Daphnia pulex: one gene and its partner. The protein of the gene in region 1 binds, or shares a complex with, the protein of each later gene. Links are inferred from orthologs where the notes say so. Each region holds a gene or a part of one and is shown in the gene's direction. Other genes may lie near its edges. The genes, in order: cleavage and polyadenylation specificity factor 73-like and cleavage and polyadenylation specificity factor subunit 4-like.

Region 1 (4,247 bases):
ACTTTCAATGCTGTTGACAGTTTTGTTCACTTTTTCAAAGATTTGAAATTTCCTCGAAATTTCCAATCGATTTCGAACGTTCTTTTTGATAAAAACTTTTTTTTAACTTTTAATTTCCGGATGAGCGGATGATAGTGATCTCGTGTAGAAGGACAGGTGTGTTCACATCTATACGCCGCCATGACAACCGACTGACAGTCTTCTGGCACGAGGCATCTCCGGACGGACGGACGGCCGCGTTAAAGGCAGGTGAATTCGTAATAGTGGGAAACGGAACAGGTTCCTTCTTCTCCTTGTATATACGTCTATCCAATAGAGCAGCAAGTTTATTTATATACACGTTTATTCTGTCCGGAGGGATGTGCGCCAAGGTTCGATAAAGACGGCGATGACTCTCTCAAATCGGCCAGACAAATGTTATGCAATTAGAATCAGCCGAGAAATCCGCTCGCGGAGCCTGCGGTGCGATTGCTTGCTTGCACGCAACCGTGTGTCTGTGTGCAGGTGTGGGTGTGTGTGTGCGTTTGCACTAAGAAATTATGAAGACGCTTTGATATTTAATAGGAAAAAACTACCCACACTCGACACAGCTCCCACGTTCAATTGTTTTCCGTATCAGCGAATAATGTGCTGTCACGTAGGAAATGCGTTTCAATGTCTTGTTTTTTCGCTGGATATTTTTCGCCAAAATTTATTGTCAACTGCAGGGAGACAAACGTGAACTTTATAGCTTACACACACACATGTATATGTATACCTGGCCCACATATACCGTGCTCGATGCACTGGAGGTTCATAATCGTGATTCATGAAACAATCATGTTACATGCATCCTAGTAAAACTTCATGGAAACTCGGCCCAACCTATAGCTACACCGTGTGTGTGTACGAGCTTGACGAGTTACTGCAGAAAGACCAAATGGTGAAGTTGATATAATCAAAAGTTATAAAAGGAGAATCTTCTTGACATTTCACGAACGAACAGTTTGCCGGTCGCTTTTTGGGTCTACATTTTTACCTCATCTGGGATCGCTGCTTCTTTTAGACTCCGCCACTCTTGGCAGAGACTTGAAACCATCTCGTGTGTAGCTTTCGGTGCAGGTGCTTCATTCCCACGCATAATCATCGGTTATTTATGCCACCATTTCTCAAATCGAGTAGAGTTTCACGAATTTTAAAACCCGTGGACAAAAAAGTCGAGATTGAATAGTAAAAACGCCGTCAGTCCGTTAATATCTTAAATCATCGACCCCGAAAAAATATATCAAATTCTAAATGCCATAAAACTTCACGGCGTAGATTGCATAATTAATAAATGTATACTACGTAATATTTTTATGATTTTATCAAAGTAAAAAAGGCGAAAGCGGATGTGATGTGTCAACTCGCGGAGTGGACATAAAAGTTTACCTGGCAACAGCTTGTAGACCCAAGAAAAACAAAAGACAAAATGGCTAAACGTAAAAATGACGTACAGGTCCCGGCCGAAGAAAGTGATTTATTGGTTATTAGGCCATTGTAAATATAATGTCAATTGACTTTTAATTTGTATTTGGAAAATTCACGGGTGTTTTTTATTACATTACTTTTCAGGGGAGCCGGACAAGAAGTTGGTCGATCATGTATCATGCTCGAATTCAAGGGCAAGAAAATCATGGTAAACAAACGTGTTTTTGTTGTACAGAGTTGAATCGCCATTGAATGTGGGCATTTCATTGATTATGTTTTTCATTTTCTAGCTGGATTGTGGAATTCATCCAGGTTTATCGGGAATGGATGCACTGCCTTTCGTTGATTTGATTGAAGCAGATCAAATTGACTTGTTACTCATTTCACAGTGAGTTTTGGTTTTGTTTTCTTAAGTTTTATTGTCAATAGCTAATGTACAATTGTATTTTTCAATAGTTTCCATTTGGATCACTGTGGGGCACTTCCATGGTTTTTACAGAAAACAACATTCAAGGGACGGTGCTTCATGACACATGCCACAAAAGCAATTTACCGTTGGCTGCTCTCTGATTATATTAAAGTAAGAAAAAAAGGCATTTGAGTTTTAGTCGATGCAGTGCTCACAAGTAATATTTCCAACAGGTCAGCAACATTTCCACAGATCAAATGCTCTACACAGAGGCAGATCTGGAGGCATCCATGGAAAAGATTGAAGTTATCAACTTTCACGAAGAGAAGGATGTTGGTGGAGTTCGTTTCTGGGCTTACAACGCAGGCCATGTTCTGGGCGCCGCTATGTTCATGATTGAAATTGCCGGCGTGAAAGTGCTTTACACTGGGGACTTTTCCCGACAGGAAGACAGACATTTGATGGCCGCTGAGATTCCTACTGTTCGACCCGATATCCTAATCACCGTGAGTTAAGCTTGAAGTATTTCAAGGCGAAATATGTCCATGTGATAATCTGTTTTATTCTCGAAGGAATCCACTTACGGAACTCACATCCACGAGAAGCGCGAAGATCGAGAAAGCCGTTTCACAGGTCTGATCCACGAAATTGTCAATAGAGGTGGCAGATGTCTGATCCCGGTCTTTGCACTGGGTCGAGCACAAGAATTGCTTCTCATTCTAGGTATTAGGTATTAGAAGTAATTTTTTGCATAAGAAAACTTCCAATCAGTTTTAATTGGCTTTTAGATGAATATTGGAGCCTGCATCCCGAACTTCACGAGATTCCCATCTACTATGCCTCGTCGCTTGCACAAAAGTGTATGGCCGTGTACCAGGTACTAATCAAATTCAAAATCTCGCAGCGATCGCATCAAACTTTAATTGGTTCTCTATTCTTGCAGACTTATATCAATGCCATGAACGACAAAATTCGGCGGCAGATTGCCATCAATAATCCTTTCATCTTCAAGCACATCTCTAGTCTCAAGGTACAATAATATTTGAAATAACCTGTTATAAAATGGTCCTTTATTCAACGCAATGTATTGTCATTCCCCAGGGTATCGATCAGTTCGAAGACGTTGGCCCTTGTGTAATTATGGCCTCTCCCGGTATGATGCAGAGTGGTCTATCTCGCGAACTCTTCGAAGCTTGGTGCACAGATCCTAAAAACGGTTGCATCATCGCAGGTCAGTGGAAAGAAATGTTTTAATTTTTATATAATTAGTTGTTCACGTTTATTTTTGTTGTCGTAAAAGGGTACTGTGTTGAAGGAACATTGGCAAAACATGTTTTGTCAGAACCGGAAGATATTACCAGCATGGCTGGCCAGAAGCTACCAATGAAGCTTTCAGTTGACTACATTTCATTCTCCGCTCACACTGACTACCAACAGACCAGTGAATTTATTCGTTTGCTGAAGCCACCTCATGTCGTTTTGGTTCACGGCGAGGCCAACGAGATGAACCGACTCAAAGCGGCGCTCATCCGAGAGTATGAACATGATCCAGACACTCAAATCCGTATATACAATCCACGTAACACTGCGGCAGTAGAACTCCATTTCAAGGGCGAAAAAACGGCCAAAGTAATTTAAAAAATCGTAAAAGCGATTCACCCAATGAATTTTATTCTAACGCCTTGTTGTCTAGGTGATGGGATCTCTGGCGTTTGAAAAACCAGTCGAAGGCCAAATCATTTCTGGTGTCTTGGTCAAACGAAACTTCAAATACCAAATTGTGGCGCCGTCGGATATTTCGAGTACCAACAATTTTTATTCAAGTCTTAATTTCTATAACTTTAGTACCCAATTTTTTTGAATTGCAGAATACACAGACATGACTGTAAGCAGCGTAACTCAAAGGATGGGTATCCACTACAGCGGGAATCTGCAAACGTTACAAGCTGTCCTGTCTCACGTTTCGCCTGACGTCGAAGTTATCGAGAGCGACAAAGGACTAAAAACATTTCGCCTTTTCTCTGCCATTGATGTCATTGTTGATAAAACTCTGGTTACATTAGAAGTACGCATCTTAATGATTTGTGAAGACCACTTCTTTAATGTTTAATATTTGATTTGTTTAGTGGGCGGCTGATTCTGTGAACGACATGTTCGCTGACGCAGTGCTTTCAGCTATCTTAAAGTGCGAATCTCTTCAAGGTTCGAGGACGATTGTGCTACCCACGACTGTTGATCATGCCCGCTTCAAGGTACTAAATTTTATTTGTTTGAGAATAATATCGGTCTAAACGTGTGAATTTATATAGGAATGCTTGATAGAAATGCTTCAAGATATGTTTGGAGATGATGCGGTTCCAAAAATGTTCAAAGGAGATAAATTCATTGT
Region 2 (4,356 bases), on another chromosome or scaffold:
TCCGGATTCACGTAATACCTACGGCCACTGGATGTCCTCCTTTCCTCCCAACCTGCCCATTATGAAGACATTTGTCAATAAAATTTTCAAAGTCATCAAGTTGTTGTTGTTTAATTTACCCTGCGGAAGGGGAGAGGTGACTGAAGCCGTGGCAGCTTCTTGAATGCCTGCAGGTGACGCAGGGCTGGCAACATTTCCCAGAGCGTCCACAACGGTTTGGACGACGGGAGTTGCACTGTTCTCGTGACAGCTTGACGAATTGTGCTGTTCTCTAGACAGCAAGGAAATAACTATTTGTCCCTTCACTTGATCGGTGTCGTTGGCGTTCGCGCGCGTCAAGTCAAGACGTTGATCTGAAAAACAAACAAACAAAGAGACGAAGAATTTAGAGGTGGACATTCACAAGACAGAATTATTTGGCATTACATCCTGTGTCTTTCAGGCGTTGAATGGCATTGGACATGATTCGAACACAACCAAGGAATCCGCCACCTTCCTTCTTGTGAATCTTCTTGTGGTTCCAAACACTGATGGTTATCGCATCTGACTTGCCAATGTACCTGTGGGAAAAGAGAGAAAAAACAGTCAGGCGTTGAAGAGTTGAATTGTCTGGTGGTGATGATGACTTACAGGTCAAAGTGCTGGTTCCACTTTGGGTCCAACGAAGACTTGCAGGTGTCTGTGCTGTGACATTGGCCCGATCCCTCAACACTGACTTTGGCAAATGGGTCAGGCAAACGGAACAGATCCTTCTTTGCGAGATTCTTGGCGCACAGTACTGGTGGTTTGAGAGAGACAGAAAGAGATAAACATCAATAAGACACGGTCATACCATCAAGACTTGTTATTTCATTACTAATCCTCTCCCCTCCATCTCAACCCACCCCTGGGGGCAAGAGGAAGTTTACCCTTTCTACAAAGACAGGAAACAGGGTATCAGATAAAATAAAGCCTGGAATGAGAGAAAACCAGCCCAGGAATGTTGCTTCACCGAGGAGGAATCAATGAAAATTCCGTTTGTGGCACACGATTGAAAAATTGGCCCAACATCAAAACAAAAGAGAAAATAAAAAACACTTACTTGTGAGTCGAATCTTAATGGCCCCATTTCTCCTATTGATCCCTGTGTGGGACATTGCTGGCGAACAGGCAAACTCTCCTCCCAATCGTAACACAGAACTGAGATTACACTTCAGACATCGAGAATAATAAAAAGTCACGTGCGGCTTAAACCATGCATTTAAGTAAGTCTAAATATATAACAAGAACAGAAATCCTTTGTCAAAATCAATTTGTTTTGCAGTCCAAAACGGGACTCGGTACACTTTTTAGGCAGCCATGTCAGCGAGCAATGGAAAACTGGCCCTCTAGCGGAACCACCAGGCAGCTACTGTAAATAATAAGCAGAGGCGAAACGCAATAAAATCAAAACAAGCAAACTTCTGTCTCGTGATTCTCGACCTTGTTTGTTTGTTTTGACCAAACAACGAAATTCCTTCCTCACCCTCGAATTCTCTGAAATAATTCCAAGTCTAGCGATTTACTTGAGAAATGAGAAGAATTACAGATAAGCTTATCTTTGCGGTTTTTTCGTCTAGTGAGCGGAGCTCGGCGTTCTTTCTGTAGCACTAGCAGTATTGTTCTATTAAGATAATTTTTGAAAAGACAATTGCTGATATTTCAATTCATTTGAATAGTAAACCTTTACACAAAGACACGAGTCCGAATAAGTGCAATCTGTGCAATGATGTGTAGGCCTAGATGACCGCACACAAAATCAATTGCCATCCTCATTTCTTTGCGGTACTGTTTACTAAACTTTAAAAGCTAAAAATTCCCATTACATAAAAAGCTGAATTCCGATCTACAAAATTTCTAAATTTAGTTTTGTTATGAAACGTTCTAAAAGCGTAAAAGAATATAACTAAAGATGCCGTTTAGTCTCACCTGCGGTAGCCCGGCTACCCTTCCTCTAAATTTGTGTCAAAAGCAAAATAAGCAAAAGTTGGTGTACATGTTGCTTGGTGCATGGGTAAATTAAATCGTTTTCAGCAGGAATTTTACTATAACTATTAAAATTAAAAATGGGCACCATGGATACCGTAATGGCGCCTATTGCCAATATCAAATTTGATATTGAAGTTGCCTTGGGTAAGAGAGAATCAAGATCTGATATCATCACCATATTTCAATTTGAATGAAACTAATGAACCAATATTTGTATTTATAGAGCAACAGCTGGGAGCCCAAAATCTCCCATTTCCCGGAATGGACAGTAAGTGAATTAAATGCATGTGCACATGGTTTCGACTTCTAATAATGTTTGGGTCTTTTAATTCTTCAGAATCAACGGCAATGGTGTGCACTCTATTCACTAAAGGTCAATGCCAGAGAGCAAGTTTTTGCCCATACAGACACCTCAGAGCAGACCGGACAATTGTATGTAAACATTGGCTCAGAGGACTATGCAAGAAAGGAGATCAGTGTGAATTTCTCCATGAATTTGATATGGCTAAGATGCCAGAGTGTTATTTCTACGCCAGATTCAGTGAGTTCCATATCTAGAGTTGATTTGATAAAACAGTTTTAATGTTTTTTTCTTTCTCCCAGGTGCTTGTCACAACAAAGAATGCCCTTTCTTACACATTGACCCTGAAACAAAGATCAAAGATTGCCCTTGGTATGATCGTGGTTTCTGCCGTCACGGACCGACTTGCCGACACCGTCATGTTCGACGTAATAACATTTTTATCGTTTCGTGAAAGAATCATTTTAAATATTGCTTTAATGTTTCAGGTGTGCTCTGCATGAACTACACAGCAGGCTTCTGTCCCGACGGCCCCGAATGCAAATTCGTCCAGTAAGAACAAAATAACTCGTAATATTATTGTCAGTTGGTGAAAATAACTGTGAATTTCTTTCTTAGTCCGAGATTTGAATTACCTCCACTTCCAGATGATATCAAGGGTGACAAGAGAAAGATGCCTCTAGTCTGCCATTTCTGTGGAGAAGTGGGACATAAAGCTGGTAAGAATCCTAACCTTGAATTACATAATACAAGTTTTTCGTCCCAAATTGATTTCATTTTGTTTTTCGTAGCTCAATGTCCGAAAATTCCATCAGAATCTAAGGACATTTACCGCACGCCCGCCGATGCCTCTACTCATGCAAATAACGCTTCCCAAGCCCAGAGAGATCGAACGAATTTGAGACCTTTAGATGAAGTCACCTGTTATAGAGTAAAAGAATTTATTTGTTCACATTCGCGATTTTTGAAATTACCCTTATTCACTTATCTTTTTGTTGTTAATAGTGTGGACTGCGCGGCCACTATGCAAATCGGTAAGATGAATTTATATTAATGAATTAGTCGTTTTGGGGCATTTCAATGTAATATCACTCATGCTGTAATTTTTATTTCAAACAGGTGTAACAAAGGACATCTGGCTTTCTTGAGTAACCAGCCAACAGAAGAAAGAAGTTAACGAAAATTACATTCATTTCCAACACTGTCTCTGTCCATTCAATAAATACAATTTTGAAATCTCTCTAAAAAAAAAGGAGTCAGAACACTAGTATATAATTATTTTTAGTAGTAGAACGGTTTTTGTGTGAGGAATCTTTAGATGTAGGTAGGGGCATTTGTGAGTGAGGTGGAGCAGGCAGCACATTTCTCTGCTTCTGGTGCGTTCACCAAAGTGCAATTGGAGCATTCACGTCCTCCGCGGAACAGAGGCTGGCTCTCAGGGCCCTTGTGTCTCGACTTGGAACACATGTCGCAAATTTCTCGATCGTCGGGATTCAGAAAAGTGCAAAACAGGCACTCCCATCCATTGAACTGAAAATTACCAAGGTTAAAAGGCTTTTACTCACACGCCACTAGATTTCCAAATTGTATAAATGCCATTGACTACCTTTGCAGAATTTAAATGTTGTCTAGCGGCTCTACCATTAACTTGGGCGGCTGCGGACTCTTTTGGCCTAGCTCCAACCGGTGATGATCCAGACGTGAAATATTGAGGATTGTTTGTTATTTTTGAAGGTGCAGTCTTTTCCGGCATTCGATCATAGTTTCCACCAAACATTTCTTTAACAGAAGTAGGAACGTTTCTCTCTTCTTTCAACTTGTTTACTCGATTGTCTTTCGATCTTTCGACAGTAGTGCTGCTACTCGGACAGTTATCTACGTCATCGTAGCAAAGCTGCTCCAAGCGATCAATATCCAATAGACTGTCAAACTTTGGTATGCTCTTCATCTCACGAACGAATGAGTTGTTCCAGACGTCGAAAGTTTCTGGGATGCCTTGTCCTTCAATAATCGACTTCGGTTCGAGGGATCTAGTTTGATAGTTAACA

Evidence for each region.
Region 2: cleavage and polyadenylation specificity factor 73-like (region 1) and cleavage and polyadenylation specificity factor subunit 4-like share a complex: the UniProt entries of both Drosophila melanogaster proteins name them as parts of the cleavage and polyadenylation specificity factor (CPSF) complex. The link is inferred for Daphnia pulex from reciprocal best matches to the Drosophila melanogaster genes Cpsf73 and Clp.

The regions. Positions count from the first base shown.
Region 1 is NC_060024.1:9,772,608-9,776,854, forward strand, and holds the start of cleavage and polyadenylation specificity factor 73-like, read left to right. Parts: upstream 1-1,383; 5' UTR 1,384-1,450; coding exon 1,451-1,518; intron 1,519-1,593; coding exon 1,594-1,657; intron 1,658-1,739; coding exon 1,740-1,837; intron 1,838-1,905; coding exon 1,906-2,029; intron 2,030-2,091; coding exon 2,092-2,364; intron 2,365-2,430; coding exon 2,431-2,581; intron 2,582-2,646; coding exon 2,647-2,735; intron 2,736-2,801; coding exon 2,802-2,888; intron 2,889-2,959; coding exon 2,960-3,089; intron 3,090-3,158; coding exon 3,159-3,487; intron 3,488-3,551; coding exon 3,552-3,660; intron 3,661-3,726; coding exon 3,727-3,923; intron 3,924-3,984; coding exon 3,985-4,110; intron 4,111-4,167; coding exon 4,168-4,247. UniProt on the Drosophila melanogaster protein: Component of the cleavage and polyadenylation specificity factor (CPSF) complex that plays a key role in pre-mRNA 3'-end formation, recognizing the AAUAAA signal sequence and interacting with poly(A) polymerase and other factors to bring about cleavage and poly(A) addition.
Region 2 is NC_060027.1:2,524,929-2,529,284, forward strand, and holds cleavage and polyadenylation specificity factor subunit 4-like, read left to right. Parts: upstream 1-1,433; 5' UTR 1,434-2,084; coding exon 2,085-2,151; intron 2,152-2,230; coding exon 2,231-2,275; intron 2,276-2,344; coding exon 2,345-2,548; intron 2,549-2,610; coding exon 2,611-2,736; intron 2,737-2,796; coding exon 2,797-2,860; intron 2,861-2,926; coding exon 2,927-3,027; intron 3,028-3,099; coding exon 3,100-3,239; intron 3,240-3,313; coding exon 3,314-3,342; intron 3,343-3,383; exon of another isoform or gene 3,384-3,427; coding exon 3,428-3,485; 3' UTR 3,486-3,560; downstream 3,561-4,356. Other genes in the region: E3 ubiquitin-protein ligase SMURF1-like, read right to left, coding at 1-52, 120-353, 427-560, 631-778, 1,082-1,136; uncharacterized protein LOC124207999, read right to left, coding at 3,623-3,838, 3,915-4,356. UniProt on the Drosophila melanogaster protein: Component of the cleavage and polyadenylation specificity factor (CPSF) complex that plays a key role in pre-mRNA 3'-end formation, recognizing the AAUAAA signal sequence and interacting with poly(A) polymerase and other factors to bring about cleavage and poly(A) addition.